3 linked regions of the Nothobranchius furzeri genome follow. The protein of the gene in region 3 binds, or shares a complex with, the protein of the main gene of each other region. Links are inferred from orthologs where the notes say so. Each region holds a gene or a part of one and is shown on either strand. Other genes may lie near its edges.

The links.
Region 1: zc3h13 (region 3) and mettl14 share a complex: the UniProt entries of both Homo sapiens proteins name them as parts of the WMM complex. The link is inferred for Nothobranchius furzeri from reciprocal best matches to the Homo sapiens genes ZC3H13 and METTL14.
Region 2: the proteins of zc3h13 (region 3) and wtap are in contact, whole or in part, in a cryo-EM structure (PDB 7VF2), measured with the Homo sapiens proteins. The link is inferred for Nothobranchius furzeri from reciprocal best matches to the Homo sapiens genes ZC3H13 and WTAP. Residues at the interface, in NP_001317494.1 of Homo sapiens: Arg1512, Pro1514, Gly1515, Ala1516, Ala1517, Leu1518, Lys1520, Phe1521; in NP_001257460.1 of Homo sapiens: Asp202, Glu203, Asp206, Phe207, Gln210.

What each region holds. Positions count from the first base shown.
Region 1 is NC_091746.1:78,155,508-78,159,259, reverse strand, and holds the start of mettl14 (N(6)-adenosine-methyltransferase non-catalytic subunit METTL14), read right to left. Parts: upstream 2,661-3,752; 5' UTR 2,528-2,660; coding exon 2,462-2,527; intron 2,151-2,461; coding exon 2,062-2,150; intron 1-2,061. Other genes in the region: prss12 (neurotrypsin), read left to right, coding at 3,701-3,752. UniProt on the Homo sapiens protein: The METTL3-METTL14 heterodimer forms a N6-methyltransferase complex that methylates adenosine residues at the N(6) position of some mRNAs and regulates the circadian clock, differentiation of embryonic stem cells and cortical neurogenesis.
Region 2 is NC_091742.1:5,865,437-5,869,188, reverse strand, and holds the start of wtap (pre-mRNA-splicing regulator WTAP), read right to left. Parts: upstream 2,655-3,752; 5' UTR 2,468-2,654; intron 1,931-2,467; 5' UTR 1,923-1,930; coding exon 1,893-1,922; intron 1,787-1,892; coding exon 1,731-1,786; intron 1,656-1,730; coding exon 1,597-1,655; intron 1,437-1,596; coding exon 1,309-1,436; intron 1-1,308. Other genes in the region: sod2 (superoxide dismutase [Mn], mitochondrial), read left to right, coding at 3,419-3,549. UniProt on the Homo sapiens protein: Associated component of the WMM complex, a complex that mediates N6-methyladenosine (m6A) methylation of RNAs, a modification that plays a role in the efficiency of mRNA splicing and RNA processing.
Region 3 is NC_091754.1:49,202,630-49,206,281, forward strand, and holds part of zc3h13 (zinc finger CCCH domain-containing protein 13), read right to left. Parts: coding exon 3,569-3,652; intron 3,492-3,568; coding exon 2,862-3,491; intron 2,782-2,861; coding exon 2,641-2,781; intron 2,565-2,640; coding exon 2,364-2,564; intron 1-2,363. UniProt on the Homo sapiens protein: Associated component of the WMM complex, a complex that mediates N6-methyladenosine (m6A) methylation of RNAs, a modification that plays a role in the efficiency of mRNA splicing and RNA processing.

The sequences.
Region 1 (3,752 bases), on a different chromosome or scaffold from region 3:
TCAAATGTCTATAGGGGAAAAGATGGATGTGGGGGGCTGGGGGGTGCGCAGCTAAATAAGTTTGGGAACCGCTGGTCTAGCTCAAAGATGTTACACAGATTGTTCTTGAAAATAGCTTGAATTGCTGTTAAGTGTTGGATGTCTTGCTTTTGGATTCATCCAGTGTGATGATTACAGCTGTGGAGATGCTTTTTAAAAATAATACAGTTTTATCTCACCTACTCAGTTACCACAGTTCATATGAAGCAGGTTTTCACTTCTGCGAAGTATTTGCTGAATCTTACCTCCCCTGTTGTTTTGGTTTTGAATCCAAAGAATGTACTTTATAGGTCATACCTTGAGCTGTATCTAATTTTATGGTTCAAACTGGAGGAAATAACACAATAAGTTTTAATTTTTGGACATGTGTAATGTACTCAGGTCATTCACAAATTTGTTATCATTAGTAATTCATAAATCAGACTGTATCATTTGCATGTTAGTTAACCCCTGGTTAATGATTAAGTTGTGTTTCCTAAAGTGTTACTGATTTGACTTTTAATGTCTTGTAATATTGTTTATTAGTGTCCTGATATTCATAATCACCACCACCATTCTCTACTTTTGACTACTGTGTTTAATGTTACATTCATAATATGTTCTTATAAAACAGTAAGTCAATGTAACACAAACCATTTGATGGCATTGTTGAAATAAAAACAAATAACATGCCCACACTTTAATGGCTATATTCCTGTAACCACAAGGTCTTTTTCATTACTTTTGGTCTCATTATAAAAGGAATTCTTGTGGGATTTGTTCAGATGTGTGAATATTAGAATAAGTGTTGCTGATGAAGTGTAAATAGACAAGGAACATTGTAAAAAAGTTGATTATTTTTCTTTTGCTTATTTTGCCCGAAATGTTTGATTTCAGGATGAATACCTCTTTTGAAAAATGCATCAGTAGTTTTAAATTTCACTGAATTCATAATTTTACATCTTGACATTAGCTGTACAAAGTCTGAGTTTGATAAAGTGAAGAACAACAATTTTCAGAGGTTTATAATATATGCACACTTAAAGCGAGGTCTCAAATGCCACAGTGTGCCACTTGTAAAAGGAATAGTTGAACGCTCCTTCTACGGAATAGGTTTTTTTTTTGGTCCAACTTTAAAATCAGCTTTATTAACATTCAGTGACAAATAAAGTTTGTCGAAACCTCCCCGCCTCTACCCGAGTACACCTGTGCGCTGGTGGACTGGGCTGGAACCACAGTTTATTCAGGAGTTTCTCCAGACCCCGCCGTTGGATTATTGAAGCCGTTCAGGTTAGTTAGGAAACCTCTGAGCCAATAGAATCGCTTGCTTTTGATTTTTTAGGCTAGATTTTTGGGATTTGGCATCAGATGGATGCAAGCTAAAACAGCCACGAATCAGCTTTGTGTGATGTTGTGAAGATGGATTACACAAAGGGATTGGATTGTTTTTACCATAACATGGATTATGACCATGAATCAACAAAGGTAAGACTGTATTTACGCTTTTCACGTCATGAAATGAGCTGTGGTTTGTTAGCTGCTGGTTCTGTGAATTTTGCATGTAGAGTGCATAAATATTGTTGGAAAGAGAAGTCTGGGCTTTAATTTAAACAGTGGATTCTGTGGATAGGATATTGGATTGTCGCTGCTGTGTGTTTTTCTCTAAATGTGTATTTAGTGTATTTTTACGTCCTTTTGATTTAACAGCTTATTGTTGAATTGGGTGTTGTTGATGAAGAAAACTTGGGTTCTGTTGTTTGGAAGATTAGTTCTTCCCGTTCTGCATGTGTGCAGTTTATACATTGGTGAATATTAAGCATGTTTTTGGAAGGACTATGTTACTGTGAATCATGCGCGAACTCCTTACTGGATTGAGGTTGAGTTTCAATTTACAACTGATGACATCCACAGACAACATCCCCCACACTTTTGAAAAGTTTGCAACGCGCCTGCAAACACGTTGCATTTACGTATTTCATTCAAACGCAGCCCTTTTCTAGCTCAGACGATCCCGCCCTGTCTGTGAGGAGGAACAACCCTTACCTGCTTGCTTCTCTTGTCTCCTCTATCTCTTTGAGCTCATCTTTGCTGTGAAGGACAGCCCCGATACTGTCTGCGCTCTCAGCTCCCAGCTGCGCATTTAGAGAAACACACACAGAGAAACCAACATCAGCAAACATTTGACTGGAACTTTGTGAACGCCTTTTTTGCATTGCTGCTACATTTCATTCGACAAATAAAGTCGGCTCTAGCTTGGGTTACACTTATTTACATTTGCTATGAAGGTGTTTTCTTTTAGCTCGGTGGAAGGCGAGTATTTAATACATCAGCCAAGTTAGGGACGGTGAAGTTATGGTGAGCATTTAGCACCCTGCAGCTCCGTTATGACCAAAGCGACGTTAGCGGTTAGCCACTTTCTAACTGTTAACTATGGTGTACTTGCCTGTTGAGCCAAGATCTGCCGTCTCAGTTTTTGTTTCTCGCGGATTTCTTGAAGCCTACTGTTCATGTTCTCCTCTGTGACAGTAGATCTGTATTTATATTAAACGTCGGGTCGTTGCTAAATACGGATTACGTTCACTTCTGAAAGCAGCAAGCTCCTAGCTAAACATTAGCTAAATCGACATAGCCGCTGAAATGATGATGGGTGCGCTCGTTATGAACACCGGTACAAGTAATCACAGTAGATGTGTGTCTTTAACAAATATAGGGCGATGCATTGAAACTGCAAAGTTTACATATAAAACACTCAAATAACGTGTAATTTGAAGACATGTATAAAATTCTACAAAGAAAATTAAATAAACCGATTTGAGGGCTATAACTCCGGTTACCCAGAGAAGGTTCGGTGTACGCTGTTTACAAGATTTAACAAGCATTTGAACCTACAGTCACTCGATGATGATGAAAGAGCCTTGTCCGACGCATACGTTTGGCGTCAGCAAATTTATCACCCAATCACAGAGAACAGTTGGAAAAGGCAATCCAACAAACAGCTATATTCGACTGTTTCCCGTTCTCTCACAGCTCATGATACCACAATAAAAAGAAGGGAATGTGTTATTGGCATTTAAATACAGTATCAATAGTCGAGTAGCTTTAAAAGCTTACGGACAATGAAATTAGTGCAAGAAGCAAATTCACAGCTTTGTAGCCGTACTACATAAAAATATAGCATTGAAATAATTTTAGCAGTAAGCATATAATGATTAAATAACAACAATAACAATACAGATAACTAATAGCCTAATTTTAATTTAATTTCTCCTTTTAGCATTTTAACAGCAGTGCAAAAACATTTCAAACGTTTTTTCTCAAAGCAAAATTTCCTAACCTGACTGAGGGGAAATGGGAAATATAGTCTATCTAAAATGTAATTAGCCAACACATATATTAAATTGGTTTAGGGGAATTTTTGTTATATTTATTACGGCTCCGCGTAGAGTTCGTTTTAGTTCGTGACATTTGGCTGGATCTTGGATCAATCAGTAATTTGGTTTCCTCCTCTCGGAAGGGCTGCCAGCGCATCAGCCTACGCAAAAAGAGTTTCATCGATCTGCGTCGTTTTTCTTCTCGGTTCTCTCCCCTCCCGGGGAAAAGCGCCGGGGCTGCCTGCATGTCTGGAAACAGCTGATGAGTGAAACGGATTGCCACCGTTATCAGCGGCTCACGGTCGCAGAACATGAAGGCGACGTTTCTCGCTTCAGTAGCCGCTCTTCTGACCGCAAGCGGCT
Region 2 (3,752 bases), on a different chromosome or scaffold from region 3:
ATGTTGCACCCGTGTTACATTTACAAATAGACAGACACGCAGACAGTGTTTTTCATCGCACTGTACAGCCCTGCTCTGATATGGAAGAGCCTGGGGGAAAATCAGGACGTCAATAGCACCGACCACAGATATGTAACTAGAGAGAAAAGCAATTTTTGATCTTTGTCTGCTGCGGTTTTAGTGCTTTTTTGTGCACCGCTGCTGATACAGCGCCCCGTAGTGGTGCAATGCTGCAACTGCAGTTAAAATAACATCCATATAGCTGGGGGCAGAGTGAAATCAGGCTGGGGCGGCACAAATTAGCTGGAGGAGGCCACCAGGCAAATTTGAATGCAGGAAAAACCCTGGTACAGCTAGGGACATGAACGTTGCCAACCCACACACATCTTTTCAATTTTGTATTATCAAATGTATTGATATGGGAACATTTATCACGATAAGTCAGAAATTTCGATAACGATACATTTTCGGTTTATTGCCCAGCCCTACACGATATGCCAAAAGGCACAACTAATATGGCTTAAGCAACAAAAGTAGCAGCATCTGACTGAACCTAATCCTTATTTTTGGCTTTTAAATGAAAGAAAAGGTGTGCTGAGGTGAGCTCTGCTGCTCTTTAAGGCAGATGAGCCCCCATAAAGCCACTGAACACTCTGTACCATCAGTCTAAAGCCAACGGCTGACCTTAACTACTTGTTGGCCCAGTGTGAATGAATGTGAATGGCCATAACAGTATCCCTGTTTACGACCGGTTCTGTTGACAGAAAACAGCACGTTTGTTTATAACAGCTGCTGCTCTGCAAATGCTGCTGCTTGTTTTAAGATCCTTTTACGTCACAAACTTAGAAAAATATCATGTATGTGTAAATGACACCATGCAACATTTACTTCTATTAGTATTTTAATCTCAATCAAAGATCATATTGCACTTATAAGCAGTGTTTTATGGCTAAGAAGCTCTGATCTTGTGTAAATACATAAAACATCGACTACAGCTGCCACACTGACAGATGTTAGCACTCATTTTGATGTTTGCCATTTTAAATAAGGCATCTGTTCAAAACATCACTATAAAACATTACATTTGGTATTAATCTATTGTCATTAGTGAACGTTTGACTTCTGTGACCTAACCTAATGATAAGTAAAATTCAACATCGCCTTTTTATACAGTATTACAAAAAGGAGAGTCGACATCCATCAGAGAGAAAATAAATCAATCACCCAACAAGGAGCTTCCTACAGATCAACGGGGAGCAACATTCGACCAAAGCAAAACAGTGAATTCAGTGGCAAACAGATACGTACTGTACACTCTTGCATTTCCTGCTCCTTTGTGGCAAGTCGCATGACCAGGATGTTCTCCCTGCGAGCAGACTCTTGCTGCTGCTGCTTGAGCTTTTCCTCCGACTCCTTCAGTCCTGGAACATCGTTCGCTGAAGGGATGAGATGAAAAAACATCACAGATTAGTCCTCTTCACAGACAGCCAAAGGTTAGGCAATGCACTCATTGTAGCATTTATAGCTGACTGTTGAAACGGCTAAATAAACTAAACTCAACATGATGCTGGATTGCATTTACGAAACTGCACTTACAACACAGCTCTGCATATTTGGCCTCGAGGACCTGCACGTACGTTTCATGCTGTTTCCACCTGAAACGAGAAAAGAAGGTTTAACATTTTTAGATGAACACGTGATTTTACAGCAATCGCAGCGTGAACACCCACCTGGTACACAGCTCTTCTCTAGTCAGGGTCTTCATGTCCGACTCACTCAGGCGAACCTGTGAAAACAGAAAAACTGGTCAATGAGGCCGGCTGCTATTTGGAGACAACCAAAGGCTAAATGAACATAGTTCAAATAGGAGATGAACAGGATCAGACGCTAACCTTCTTGGGTAGAGGTTCCTCGTTGGTCATTTTGAACTCTAGAAGAAAATATGACAAGAAATCATCAGTTACTGCTGCTTAAATTGCAGGTTGAATTAACTGCATCATCTTTTCAGCTAAAGCGTTAGTTCTCCGCACGCAGTCTAGTCACGACTAGCACACAAGCTAAATTACGTGCGTTTTGGTTTCTGAAGAAAGAACACCGCATATTTTATGGCAAAGAGTTGACTCATTGGTCGATAACATAAGATTTAACATAACCAGTTGATAAGCGCTGTACAGCTAAATGTCGGGACATTGTGGCAGCTAGCAGAGCGAAGAAGCTAACCAAGGTGAACTACTGACCACTAATATTTAGCACTCCTTTGCAATGGTAAATTGAACTCATAGTTACAAAGTAACGTTTAAATATAATTTAAATTCAAATGGGTGGCACTTAATTATTTGCTCTGTTTCGGCTCCTTGTTATAACAAAATGGCGGTGAAGGAAACGACTCCCTCCCTTGCGCTCCTTTTCCTGAAACTAGCGGGCTCTTGGCTGCAGTTACCAGGCCTGACGCCACAAAAACACTCACCTGGCCCTGAATCTTCGATGTTTCTCAGAACTGTCGGCTTCAGAAATTCCTTGTGAGGATAACAATCACATAAACGGTCAAATATTCAGAGAAATGACAAGTAACGGTATCGTTTGGGCTTAGTCGCAATCATCTTTCTTTAGCTGACGGCAGTGTGGAATAGCTACGGACGAAAATGCTGCGGAGTAATACCAGAGAGCTAAAAACAGAGAGAAGACGCCTCACTCGTAAAATAATTTCTGAAACTCGAGCAGGGCCACGACACAAGGGATATTTTCAACGTTTTATTTATATAATTTACTATAGTTAATGTTTGATTATGCGTGGTACAACTTTTTAGAGTCAATCGACCAAAATAATTGATAACATCTGTCTAAATAGAATAAATAAATAAACAAAAAATGTTATTTGTTAATTAAGTTAAAATTATTCAAATATAGGTGACCTAGCAGAAACGCATATTTCTAAAATAACTGGTTCAGGCAAAACATGTTTGCTTTGAGTCATTGATTAAATTGGATGAAGACTTTTTTTTAAAAAAAAAAGAACATTTCTAAAGAGTGGGACATCTTAACAAAGTAGACAATCTTCACGTCACGATTAAAAAAGAGGGTCACGTGCCTCGTGGTCTTCTAAACATTTCTTTATTTTGATTACTCTCGTGTTTCAAAATTTCGTTAAACATTTTGACGACACAAATCCAAGTCTTACACTTGTTTACTAATTTATAATAAAAAGAAAAATAACGAGCTAAGGCCCTGAAGACCATGTGCAGCGTAATAGGGAAACGCATTTCAAAAACAAAATGACATGGTTACTCATAAAAAATGCCACAAGTTAAAGGTTTATTGACAAACACGGCAAACCAATGTTTCGACGAAGTCCAACTTTCAGCGTCCGCAACATTACAGAAATCATGCAAACGCTTCCAAACACCCCCATCGTATAATAATGATGGTGCAGTCTGTCAACTTGAAATGGCTCAGTTTCAAGGGCAGTTATTTACTAGCGCGTGCACACGGTTCTGGTTACCTGCTGAGGTCCATTCGAAACATGCTGAGCAGACTTGGGCAAATACGCAGGTAAAACGGATGTTCGCGTAACATTAGGGCATATATAAAGTTGTTGAAAACAGGCAGAGTGAGCTGTTGCGTGCTGTAATCGAGTATGATCTTCAAACATCAGGAGCTAACAGTTTGCTAGCCAGGATGCTAACTTAGTTTAGCAAGCTGTTTACATTAGTTTATGGCGCACCAAATAGTTTAGATTACTTCCGTCATTATTT
Region 3 (3,652 bases):
GCGCTATAATGGAAAAAGGACATTTTTTTCCTATTGAACCACTTCTTTATCGATCGATCGATATAGTTACTGAATTAACTGTCCAGCTGTTCTACAGCTTTTGCGTTTGACTTCCTGAACCGTGGAGTTTGACTCACTGTAAAATTCTTACATGTTGCTCCTTTAACGAGTGGCAAACCCTGAAATGTTTCAAAATGACCTTCTAACCCTTCCCAGCATGCACTGTGTCTGAGATCCTAATGGTAGCACACGCCTGTTTGCTCCAGATTAGAGTCCTGCACTGAAGCCCGACGGCCCTCGGGTCGGGCTTCGGGCCAATGACTGTGTAATTACCTCGGACACGGGCCGGGCGCCTTTATTTTTAATCGAATTCATGAAAAAAATTGAAACACTTATAGCAGGGGTCGGCAACCTGTTCCCATCAAAGAGCCATTATTACCCGTTTCCCACAGTAAAGAAAACACTGGGAGCCACAGCAGCTGCGGCGTTGTGGGCGGGGCCTACCCTCAGACAGCAGAGAGCTGCTTTAACCAATCACAACAGGTGACAGCAGCCGGTACCGGTCGCTCGTGTACGTCAAAGTTATCTTTCATAAGACGATAATCAATAAAACGATTTATATAAAGTGGATCCAGAAGTTGTAGCCCGTCTCTGCCTACAATATTTTGATATTTTTCACCCTGTTGGTGGTTTTACTGAGCAGGTGCCACTTTTGTCATACGTTTCATTTAAAACATGTTTAGACTGTTCAGAATACAAATCCAGGCTCTGTCACGTTTGATTGTTGTAATTAAACTTTGTAGGTGGGGAAGGTCAGAAAAGGATCCGATCAATTTGTTTTTCCCTCATTTACAGTGACGGAGACAACGGTGCATTGCGCCTGGCTCTGGTGTTAATCAAGTTTAATTTGCAACAATTTTCACAAGAAAACAGAACAGTTAAAAGCAGGGCTTGTGTTGACCGGATAGTTCTCGTATTTGACCGTTTATTTTGACGGAGAAAGAATAGAAAGAATTACCCCGACGCATGCAGACGAACTGACATTTTATTCTACGCACATCGCAGTTGTAGCTAAATCACTCGAGAAAAGATTCCCATCTGAACATGTGAGCTGGACACTGCTCAGCGCAGCTCGCTGTCAGTGTGTACTACATAAGGTGCACAGCGAGCTGAAGATGTGGAGAGGGGCTTGGAGTACGTCGCAGAACCAGAGCGCATGCGGGAAGATTCCTCCCACTGAATTCATTCAGAGGAATCTTCCCGCTGATCTGAATCTGATGCGGCTCTCTGTGCTTGTAAAATAATGAATGGATATTTAAATAAAATGCTTTATATTTTACTGAATTAATTTTATATCTGTAAGTCAATTCTATGTAAAGATTGTCTGCGTAAACCTGAACAGGTCCAGCCCGGTCTTACTGTGTGAACGGGTTGACGGGTCACGCTTGTGCGTAATCATATCGGTGCATTCTGAGCTGAAGAGGATGTGAGATTCTGGGCTTCTCCTCAGACGGCTCCTGGATGCGTCGTCACATTGGAGACAGGAACAAGCGCTATTCAGCCAAAGTTTCATAATCAAGGAACATTTTCTAAGTGACAAGTCTCTCTGAGAGACCGGGTTTGGAAAACACTCGCTTCAGTCGGAGGAATCTTCCCGCATGCGCTCTGGTTCTGCGACACGCGCTCCAAGCCCCTCTCCACAACTTCAGCTCGCTGTGTACCTTATGTAGTACACGCCGACAGTGAGCTGCGCTGAGCAGTGTCCAGCTCAGATGTTCAGATGGGAATCTTTTCTTGAGTGATTTAGCTACATCTGCGATGTGCGTAGAATAAAATGTCAGTTCGTCTGCATGCGTCGGGGTAATTCTTTCTATTCTTTCTCTGTCAAAATAAACGGTCAAATACGGGAACTATCCGGTCAACACAAGCCCTGCTTTTAACTGTTCTGTTTTCTTGTGAAAATTGTTGCAAAGAGATCAAATTTACCTTGATTACCACCAGAGCCAGTGCGCCGTCATCTCCCTGACAATAAATGAGGGGAAAACAAATTGATCGGATCCTGCACGTCTTTTAACACATTGGTCAGGATTGACGCACTTTGTTTTCATTTAGTTGGTTAAAAGAAAGTCGGGCTCGGGTCGGGCCAGAGAATCCTGAAAACCTTTTCGGACCGGGTCGGGCTGGGGCTCCACCCCCTCGGGCCGGGTATGGGCTCAGATTTTAGGCCCGTGCAGGGCTCTAGTCCAGATAGAGGTTAGGGTTACAGCTTTGACTTTGGAGTATCTTAACCAAGTAACTTTAGTTTGGTTTTTACTTTGTTACAACGTCTCACTCTCTGGTTCCTGTTGGAATTCAACGCTCACCTTTCGGATCGTCCAGCTCAGACCTGCACACCTCCTTCACCTGCTCCAGGAGCTCCGGGCCTGCGAGTCTCTTGGAGATGCCGGCCCGCAGCAGAACAGCCCCCGGGGTGAAACGGAGCAAAGCTGCACCCGCCGCCCGCGGTTCTGGTTTCTGCTTGGGCATCAGGCTGGACCAGTCAACATCAATCACGTCCAGCGGACCTGTCCACACGTGGAACCGGAGTTCACATCTAACGTCGCGCGTGATAAACTAGTTTCGGTTTCAGGAGAAACAAACCTGTAATCTTCTCCTCCTCTGGCTGATCCTCCTTTTTCTGGCTATCGGCAAGGATTTCATCCAGCTCATCATCGCTGATCGGCTCGTACTCCTCCCCAACAGACGCAACCGACCGCTCGTCCTCTTTCCCATCATCATCCCCTGGACAAAAAACACATTCCATTGGAATCCAAGTAGGAAAATCAACACGAAGAACCTCAAAGTAAATTCCATCCTCTTACCATCAAAATTCTCCGTCTTCTCCACCTCCTGATGATCTCCACCTACATGGTGGCTGTTGCTAGATTTCTCGGCTTCTGGAGGGCTGAAGGCTTCTCTGGGCAGTAGGGGCTCGTATTCGCTCCTTTCTGGCCTCGCAATCTCTCCTCTCACGTCTCCTCGTCCCGGAGCTCTCAGGTCGCCATGCGGAGGCAGATCCATCATCATCCTCTCCCGTTCCCGGTCTCCGCCTCGTTCAGCTCGACCATCTCTCTCCCGCTCCCTCTCCCGTTCTCTCTCCCATTCGTGCTGTTGGATGAGTCCTTCAGGAAGCAGGCGCTCCCGATCCCTGAGGTCCCTTAGGAGAGGCTCCCGTGCAGGACGCATAAGCAGAGGCTCTCGCCCTCGGCCCGGCCAGTCTCGAGGTTCTGGCTCCCAGTCCCGTTGCTGCTGAAGGGGCTGCTGGAGGTGCAGAGGCTGCTGCTGTTGTTGCTGCTGCAGTGGGCGGAGCTCCTTACGATCTCGCTCAAAGGGCTCCCTGTCTCGCTCCCGGTCCCGGCTGTCGTAGGAGCCGGCGCGGGATCGGGACCTAGCCTGCCGCTCCGAATCAGGAGAGCTGCGCCTGGAGCTGTGGCTCCGGGAATCTTGCCGATCTGAAAAACAAGATTTTAGTTTCCAGCTTTGGTTTTGTTTGAATAATAACCAGAACCGGATCAGAACTCTCCAGTACCTGATGAGGTGCTGCGGCTGGGCTCTCCTCTCCTCAGCTGGTCAATCCGCGACTTCCTCTCAGCTCCCGGAGGATCGCTCACCA